2 linked regions of the Oryzias latipes genome follow. The protein of the gene in region 1 interacts with the protein of each later gene in a biochemical or structural test. Links are inferred from orthologs where the notes say so. Each region holds a gene or a part of one and is shown in the gene's direction. Other genes may lie near its edges.

What was found. The genes of interacting proteins can lie anywhere in the genome.
Region 2: of the proteins of aurka (region 1) and otud7b, one has a biochemical effect on the other in vitro, tested with the Homo sapiens proteins (2 studies listed by BioGRID, with this or other methods). The link is inferred for Oryzias latipes from reciprocal best matches to the Homo sapiens genes AURKA and OTUD7B.

What each region holds. Positions count from the first base shown.
Region 1 is NC_019863.2:11,351,361-11,356,099, reverse strand, and holds the start of aurka (aurora kinase A), read left to right. Parts: upstream 1-1,512; 5' UTR 1,513-1,861; intron 1,862-2,172; 5' UTR 2,173-2,175; coding exon 2,176-2,241; intron 2,242-2,750; coding exon 2,751-3,096; intron 3,097-3,175; coding exon 3,176-3,212; intron 3,213-3,303; coding exon 3,304-3,495; intron 3,496-4,739. UniProt on the Homo sapiens protein: Mitotic serine/threonine kinase that contributes to the regulation of cell cycle progression.
Region 2 is NC_019874.2:29,131,537-29,136,419, forward strand, and holds the start of otud7b (OTU domain-containing protein 7B), read left to right. Parts: upstream 1-1,585; 5' UTR 1,586-2,062; intron 2,063-4,883. Other genes in the region: rbm8a (RNA-binding protein 8A), read left to right, coding at 843-979, 1,206-1,254. UniProt on the Homo sapiens protein: Negative regulator of the non-canonical NF-kappa-B pathway that acts by mediating deubiquitination of TRAF3, an inhibitor of the NF-kappa-B pathway, thereby acting as a negative regulator of B-cell responses.

The sequences.
Region 1 (4,739 bases):
CAGGAAAGATGGAAACACTACCTGTCTTTGTGTGCTCAGAGTTTGACTTTAAAGGCACCAGATATGGAAGAAAAGTGCCAAAGTTGAGACGGTTGTACTTTCAGATCTCATGTTCTGTTAAAAAAAAAAAAAAAACTGTTCCTCAACACAGCCGACTGCACTCACACTAACTTAGGAAGGTAGATGTATAAATGTAAGCAGTTCAAAGGAAACAGGTGGAGAACTCTACTCCATCTATCTAAGCGATCCGAACTTTCAGGGCCAGTTTGATTTCTTTATTAGAACTATTTCTGTAATGTTTCTCTGCGGGACCTCAGCAATACCAACACTGTCTCTTTATTTTTGTTTTTTAGGCAAAGCCTGAATGAATGTACTGTTGTATAAAGACTTATTGTATTATTTAAGTTAAAAGAAGGGATCAATGTTCTCGCCATATTTATATTTTTATAGTAAGACCTTGTCAGATTCTGCCTTTCTGTCAATGTAAATGTGTCGTCTGTCAACTTTAAGTTAAATGCAGAAATTGAACGTTTAACATCCAGTCGGCGGTCTTTCAGTTTAAAGGTCGCTGCAGGTGCTGCACAATGAAGCCGCTGTAACTGTATGAACTGTTCTATGGTATTGTAGACGCCTTCTTTGATACAATATTTCTAAAACTTTAAAGAATGTATTTATTTAGAAAAACTGTTTATTTCTTGCTAGTCTTTACATCAAAAAAGAATGTACAACTAAAGAAATGTTACCTGTGAACAGGAGAAAAAAAATGAATATAAGAATAAAAGTAAAATATTTTAACTTAAAAGCTTCCCCTCAATATTTTATTTTCCATGAGAGTTCTGTGGGTTTTGCTTTAAATATTTTCATAATAAAATATAACTGAGAAAACAAACACTTGGGACTAAAAATTTTAACCACTTATTGAAAGACGTTTTCTATTATGGAAAAGAGAGACTAAACTAATAGAGACTAAACTAATTTTTGTGAGCTAGTTGGGTACTTTTGAATTAAAAATCAAATTATATTCGTTCATCTGAAGGCCTCAAGAATGGGGGAGATGTAGTTACTCATTATAAACACAAGGGGCCGCAAGTGTCTTAAAAAACAAAATAAAAAAGTATTTAGTTAGCCCATGCGTCATCATTATCCTAATCAATTTTATGTGAGTAACCAAAGAAAACCTTGGACGGGTGTTGAATTATAACCCCCCCCCCCCCTCCCTTTTTTTTGGCGCAGAATGAGCTTGACCAACCATTTACTTTGGTCTGTTAAACTTCTCCCCTCGTGTTTTTTTCTTTCTAAATAGCTATTACCGTTTTGAGATAGTTTTAATTTTATCTTTTTTGCGTTTATTTGTTTGTTTTCGTAAATTGTTTAAACTGACCGAACTGAACCTGCGCTCTGCCATCTAGTGCTTTGGAACTCCAATTACCCATGACGTTCCTGCCGCCCATTCGATACATTGTATTAGCCAATAGGAAACCGAAATTGGGCATTCTGTCAGCCAATCAGACCAGCTGATTTTTTTTAAAGGTTAAAACAGGGACGTTTGAAATTTCTAATCAGCGTTTCAGGAAAAGAATCGTGTGGTCACAGACATCTCTGTAGTTTAAACCTTTTAGGTGTTTTGAACTAGTTTTGCCGCATATATTTATTTGCTTTCAGTCCAAACAAGTTGTCTGTTCGTAACGTTTCACTGGACTTTGCGTTTATATTTAGACAAAAGGAATTATCTTTCGTTAGCTAGCTTTCGTAGCATCTACGTGGGCATGGTTTTTTTCTTCTTGAATGTATTGGACTGATTAATTCTGGATATTTTAACGTGCCGTGGTTGCTGTATATCATTGTGCAGTAGTACATTTGGGTAAGTTATGTCAGACGTTGCATTAAAAATAGTTTGTATGATAGTTGCTAAGCTAACAGAAGCACTTGTTCATTAACGTTAGCTAGCCTCTGGAGAAGAGAACATCAGCTCTTTTAACTTGACTTAAAGTATTTACTTTTATAAATGTTTTACCTTTACGTGCATAGTTTGTTCACTAAGATTATATTTGATCATTGTCTGTGTAAGTACTACAGTTAGCATTGCGGACCTAAGCCTATAATTTCCTCGTGTTTTCATCTGATACGCTATTTGAATTATATACTTATAATAATATAAACTTTTTCCTTCAGGAAATGGATCCTTCTCCCTCACTCAAGGTGACAAAGAGTGTGAAACTGCAAAAGCCTGAAATAAAGCAGGTGAAGTCAGACTGATTTTCTTTTTTTAAGTTTAAATGTCTAACTTTTTTATGCCCTTCACTGCATTTTCATATATAGTATAGTAATTAGGGATTGATTTATATTCAATGTTGGAAAATACCATTTGGATTGAGAAATATAAATGACCAAGTGACATCACAGCGGACAACGCACGTGATCAAGCCATCATTACAAAATGTGTGGAAACACTTTGGATTTAGCAAAAACATGATTATACGGTGTGATAGAACCTTCTAATACTGTTCCATATATATTATTTTTATGTGTATCTCTGAGTCACACTGGTTGAATTTTGGTTAAAGATGTCTGGGATCCATTGTAGGTCAGTGAAACAGATCGAATCATTCAAATCAAACAAGAATGAACTATGAATCTACAACCCCTAATGGTAATATAGGTTAGAAAGTAATACTGATGTAGCAATATGTAAAGCTGCATTTCCTTGAATTAAATGTTAAAATTTCTATTTGCTGGTCTCTTAATTGCAGTCCGGCAGTGATGGACCACGACGAATTCCTGTGTCTCAACAGCATCAAATGGTTCCCAAGGCAATAGTCACACCCACCTCGCATCAGCGAGTTCTCAGTGTGTCAAATGGACCTCAGCGTATCCAGCGACCTGTTAGTCATCAGAAACCGGTATCTCAAGTCGCTTTTACCAACAAGTCCTCACATTCTGGCGATCAGAATGTGAATCCAGCTACTCTGAATGCACATCATGCTCCACCGTCTAAACCTACGTCCCAGCAAAACCAACCAAAGACTCAGGTTCTCGGTGCAAATCCAGATTTGGCCAAGCCACCGTCGGAACCCATAAAAGCAGACAAGCAACAGAGTAGGTTATGCCACTGAATTAAACACATTTCTCACGTTTAAAAATAAGTTATTTATACATATATATTATATTTTATCAGGCAAGCTCTCAAGAACTGAGCAGGGCTCTACATCCAAGTATGTCAAGTACAGACTATTTTTTATCATGCATGTATAAGCCTGAAAATGTTCTCTGGAAGGCTGTAACCAGACTGTTGTGCTCATACAGGAAGCGATGGAGCCTAGAAGACTTTGACATTGGTCGTCCTTTAGGAAAGGGAAAGTTCGGCAACGTCTACCTCGCCCGAGAGCGACAGACCAAGTTCATCTTGGCTCTGAAGGTTCTTTTCAAGAAGCAACTGGAGAGGGCTGGGGTGGAGCATCAGTTGAGACGAGAGGTGGAAATCCAGTCACATCTCAGGTAATTCTGGCTAACCTGATCTCATCCCAAACAAGTATTTGCAGACACAAATCTCAACCTGATTATGATTTTGGGGCTGATCCCATCTAGTGTTTGTACCTTACAATCATTGACTGACAAACTCCAGTACAGCAAACAGATTCACAGTCAAAATTGCAAAAACAATATTGCTGTCATTTACATAACTGTTTATAGAGAAAGCTTATACAATGTGGGGGTGACGCAAAATCCAATACTACTCATTCAGGAGATTCCGACTTTGAGAGAGAACTTTTTAAAATGGGTTATGATGGCGTTACTATGGAAGCTTGTTAGATTTAAAAAAAAAAAAAACAGGAGATCTTCGTTCCAAGTCTTTTCGTGCTTTTTGTTCTACATAAGCAAAGAAGTCTAAGCAGCCCGGGCTCTAACCTCATCTGCTCATGAAAACTATAGGATGAGCTGCAATTAGAAGTAGAAAAAGTCTCATAGACATGATCTGTTTGTGTTTGTCACAATATCACCAGTCTGTTTTCTTCTTCCTACTTATTCACAAATGTTACAAAGCAAAATGTTGGGTAAGTTTCAAATATTAACCAGTAGGAACTGTTTGTTTCTTTTGTTTGAGTCAATCTCAACGACAATAATAGGCGCAAAGCCCGTGGTTGACCTGCTGGAGGCTCCCGTTGTGGGTGTGGTCGACTTCACCATAATTCTTATGATTTTTGCTATGAGTTTTGTTTCAGAATTTGCTCTTAATATTTTTCTGAACTACTGGTATAACAGTTGTAGTCCTAAAGCGAGGAGCTAAGGACGCGTCTACGACTGACATTAGGGATTTTAGTGAAGGTTGTTTAAACAATAATGTGTTCTTGTGATGTTTTTGAGATTATTGAGGGTGAGTTGTGAGAAATTGATTTTCGGGGTCGTTTTCGTGTACTTCATTGACGGTCCCTGCCGGACTTTGCTTCCATGTGAAGCTGAAGGCTGCAATTTTAACAGCAAGGCAGGAGAACTTGGATGTATCCATGTGTGTTCTTGGTTTGAGTTGGCGGCACCGACTGCAATAGTTACCGAAATGTGTTTATTTTTAGTTTTGGAAATTCTGTGAAAAGTTATGGATAAAGCATTGCTAAAAAAAAAAAGTGTACAATCCCTGAAAATCAGAGCCATCCAGCTGTAAGCAGGATCCAGCTCAGAGGAGGAAAAGGAAGACGGTAATGTATCCATTTGTCTGCAAGCGGATGCATCAGAATGGAGTGAAC
Region 2 (4,883 bases), on another chromosome or scaffold:
TTAAGATTGACCAATGGGATGGGGCCCTTTTATGTTAGATGCTCACCTGCTATGTAGACAAGGGTCATTTGGAGTAAATAGGATTTCAGTTATGTTAAATGTAAAATAAACTGTTGCAGTGAAATGGAAATCATGGTTTTGGTTGTTCGTGTATCGCAAGTTAAATCGTCATCGCAATATTAATCACTTGTATCGCAAATCACGAGTTTTCCTCACATTGCGCAGCCATAAACTAAATAATGATTCAATGATAGTTTCTCCTGCATTTCCCCAAATATCTGCACAATATGAAAGATACGGGACAACTATTGATCAGTAAATAACATACAAGCTCTGTTCAATGCATCTCTGGTTTTGAACAGTCATTGATAAAAGATCTTAAATAAAATAAATGTATGTTTGTGTTCATTTGATTCTTAGTCAAGATACTTTGATAAGAATGACTGTGTATGTTTTTGATTTAGAAACTGACATAGCACGTTCAGTAAATTTGGGATAAATAGTGTCTGACTGTAAAACGCTTGGGGAAAGTTGCATCGTCAGTGGCGTCTATTGTGCTGCATGTTTCTTAGCCACAAGGGGGCAGCACGTCTTTGCTGTTAAAATAAATCAACCCTTAGGAAGGAATTGTTCATTTTCGTGTTTTATAAACAGAATGAACTTTTTGTCCTAATAAAATTTGCATCTTTAAAGTAAAGTTAAACATAACAAGCTAATCAATTGTAGTATTTTTTTTTTGCAAAACATTTGTTTTAAACTCTGGTAGATTCAAATGTTTTCATGTTAGCTGTGTAAAATCACAACAATAAAAACAGATGTGATTTGCATCCACCTGTTCTCAGGGCTACGCACTGGTGGAGTATGAGACGTACAAAGAGGCCCAGGCGGCCATGGAGGGGCTCAACGCTCAGGATCTGATGGGCCAGCCTGTCAGTGTAGACTGGGCATTTGTCAGGGGGCCCCCCAAGAACAAGAGAAGGTATTCATGTGCATTTTTATGTATTTGGCTGTGGTTGTAGTAACACACACAGTACAGTTTTTCTTGTACAGTTCTGTTTGACTTTTTTGTTGAAGTCTAGTGGGTTTTATTATGTTCCAGGTTATTTTTTCTGATATCTTTAAGTTTTGGTGTTTGATTATATACGTCTAAATGTTATTGTACCTCAAAGGTTGTAAACATTTCTGTTATTCCCTGTTTATTTCAGGACCGGTGGGCGGAGACGCAGCAGAAGTCCCGACAGGAGGCGGCGTTAAACACCATCTTTGGCGCGTGATAGTTGGAAAGTTTTTGTTTTGTTTTGTTTTTTGTCACATCTTCAAATGGAAAGTTCAAAGTTATTGTAGTATGTTTCTTAGTATCTGTGCTTTACATCCACGTGGAAGCAAACACCAGGATGATTTGTTTAAAATTGGATAAAAACTGGGTTTTTGTGCATCTTTTGGCCAACTTTTGTTGCACCATGTCAATTTTTTTTTCCTAGTTTGCTCTTTGTGACCTGGATTTTATTCCATTTTTTTATTGGCTTGAACTGTATTAAAGTTTTAAAGTGGAAATACATTTCCAGTGTGGTTTCTTTTTTTCAATTGCATAGTTTACATCCGGGATGATCTCATCCTGTGAATGGCGACGCCCCCGTGAACCCCGAAGCACCTGTCACTCTGCCTTCAGTGCTGCGTTCATAGGCTGCTCGGACAAAAGCCCTGTCCCTTTATTTGTCACGCAGCCAATCGGCAGACTAACGTTTCACTCCGTCCTTAAGGCTGAACACTCATTGGATATTATTGACGTCAATCAAACGGACGCGTCAGCGGGATTGGGTGATTATCAGTTGGGGGCGGGGTTAATCGCTAGTTTGACGTTGTTGTTGTAAGTGGTGGAGAAATTACTTTGTCGCTTGTGGTCCGGTCTGGGATTCTACACTGAATTTTTTTTTTTTACACCTGTGATGCTGGTAAAAAGTTGAGCAGTACTTTTCCTGGAAACTTCCATCCCACACACAAGTCGATGTTCGCTGGAAAACTCCCCGGCGGGACGATGGAAACATCTCCGAGGCCGTCAGAGGTGAGCGGTAAAACGATACTCTAGCACACTACTAGCTTTAGCAAACGTTAGCCGCTGATTAGCCTGGCTTCGGTAGCCACTTGCTAGCCAAACGTAACGGTTTCGTCTAGTCTCTGACAAATGCTCATCTCCTCTGTTTCCATCTTCAATTACAATTCTTCTTCTTGCACTTGTCTTGTTTGGCAGGCTAACCGGGGAGGGGTACGTTTTCCCCCCTCAGAAATAAAGTTTAGTCAGGAGGAGGCTGTGTGGCTACGATTCAACAACCCCGTTTGAACGCCTCAAATGCGTTTATGTAAGCATGTGTATTGTCTGATATTTGAAAGAGTAGCCACGGCCACTATATAATCTACCCACGAGTCCAAACGATGGGTGGGTTTCCTCCATCTAAATTCCTGCAAAAGAGGCGATCAGTTCTGTTTTTGTTTTTTTTTAGACGTCCGTTTATATTGTTCGCCTTTCTTGTGATAATCGTAAAGAAATACTTGCAATGTTTTAGTCCTCTTACACAGCTGTCGGCACACTACAGCCCGGCCGGTGCGCTTTTGCGGTGCATGCGTGATGTAACCTTTTATTTAAGGAACCGGCTTAGCGGGAGAATGCCAGAAATAACTGTTTACATTCCGGCTCCCGGACTCCTCGTTTCTCCGAGCTCCCCCTGAAGCGGACGCGGTCGGCTCCGTCCACCGTTCCTTCTGAAATCTCGCCTGGTCATCGGGTTCGTGGTTTTATTAAAGACACCGTCCTGTTATTTGTCAACATGGCCACGATGAGAGGGGATTAGGTTTCCTTTGCTCTTGAATTATTGAGACGTGGTTGTGGACTCAGTCTTCTTTGGGTCGCTGGTAGTCAAAAGAAGTAGGACAGATAGTTGTGTTGCTTTCTGCAGCCCGGCCACACAAAATAAACAGAGCAGAGGTCATCTAGTTCTGCTGCTCACGTCTCTCCATCCTTTGAAGAAACCCAAATGTGTAATCCTCTTTCTTCCTTTCACTTTTGGAACATCAACCTGATGGAGATTTGCTGATCAACACTGATGCTGACTGGAACAGGACCTGTGCCTTCAGTCACTCAAACCAAATTCAGCTCACTGAAAGACCCGCCTCCATGAAACATGTTCTTGTCGCATTTGCTAAAGAAAGTTTAGCGTAAAATCTGAGCATTTCTTCATTCATATTGGATCACGAGCAGAAACAAAAGCTTGTGACATAGGACCTACAATGGTGGGCCACAAGCTCCCTGCCCCGCTCCATTCTGATGCATGCATCATCTTTACCCCTTGTGCTATCTTAGATGACCCCACCTTTACATTAACGTGTTATTCCTACCATGACAAAGGTGGATAAAGGTGGAAAGATTTCATGGACACCAGTGAGGTTCACAAACCATTGAAGAAAAAAGCTTCTAGTGGGTCTGGATGACCCAATTCCCAATGTTAAAGTGCCTAGGATAGCACAAGGGTTGCTGATGATCGAAGTGGGACTTTAAGCATATTTACAAGAATTTGGAAGTGTGGTGAGATTAGAAGAATCCTTTTATATGTTTTTTTACATATGGAAACATCTTTAAAGTCCAACTCTAATCATTTTTTGATCTCTTTTAAAGCGTTCCCAGTGTTTTTTTTTTATCTATGCCGCGTTTTCCCTAAACTAATAAAATAACTGTTGTTGCAGTAGTTCATTAGAAATTGGCCTCTAAGTTGTGGGCGGGGCTGTTGGAACGCAGTAAGCCCACCCCTTATTTCCTGTCATCCATTTGATATGCTCTCCTGCTAGCTTACAGCCCCTCACACCCCCAACCTAACACTACTGGTGCTACAAAAATGGGGAGCACTATTGAAGCTATCCAGATTCCTGCTCAGACGAGGAAAACAAAGACGTCCCTGTATCTGTTTGTCTCCCAGTGGATGCATCAGAATGGAGCGGAGCAGGAAACTTGTGGACCACCCAGTTTGTTTTCTACATCACAAATATGGTCTCTATTAAAGGGCATTTTTTCATCTGCTCCTCATTCACAACATGCTGAAGAAAAAATCCTCAGAAATGCAATTTCAAGCTTAATTTTCTTTACATATGTCCACTATCATGAGAAAAATGCTACAGGAACATGATAAAAACATTGGAGCGGGTCTTTAAAGTGGAGGACTTCTTACATGTTTATGTCCATTTCACGACTAGAAGGGTCGGAACTACCCGTGTAAATCTAAAGTCTGTATTTGGACCTTTAACGTCCTTTCTGCTCAATAAGAAGCCATCTTGGGTTTTGTCCTGTCTGATCAGCAGTGCTGCCTGTCAAATCCAGAATCTAGCGCGAGCAGTGACGCTGCAGAGCCCGTGTCTGCGTGCGTGACGGCCTGGCCGTCTTCAAAAAGACCTCAGAAAACATTGCATTCATTGTTTCAGTTGCAACGAAAGCACTTTCATTTAACATTTAAAGCAAGGTGTGGCTTTCGTTTTCTTTTCCAAGCAAGCAACGTAAAAAAAAGACGAAGAGCATTTCTTCCAATGCACATTTTAGTTCCTGTTGCTGCTTCAAATCAGACATGAGTTTACTCTCAGCAACATTTGCATACCTACCTGCTGCACTTTAACTTTCTATCTATTATTTAAATTTGTTGACCTGTATTTAAAGTTGTGGTTGGGACTATTTACATTTGAAATGGGATGCAGTCAGCAGTTTAGTGTTAACTTGAATGAAACAGAAGACATGAGAAATGGCAAAAGCTGTAAGATGCGCCAATTAAAGATGAAAATAGCAGCAGAGCGGATGTTGACGTGTTTCTTTTTTTTTGCTGAAGTTAAAAAAAAACAGCAGGAGTGAG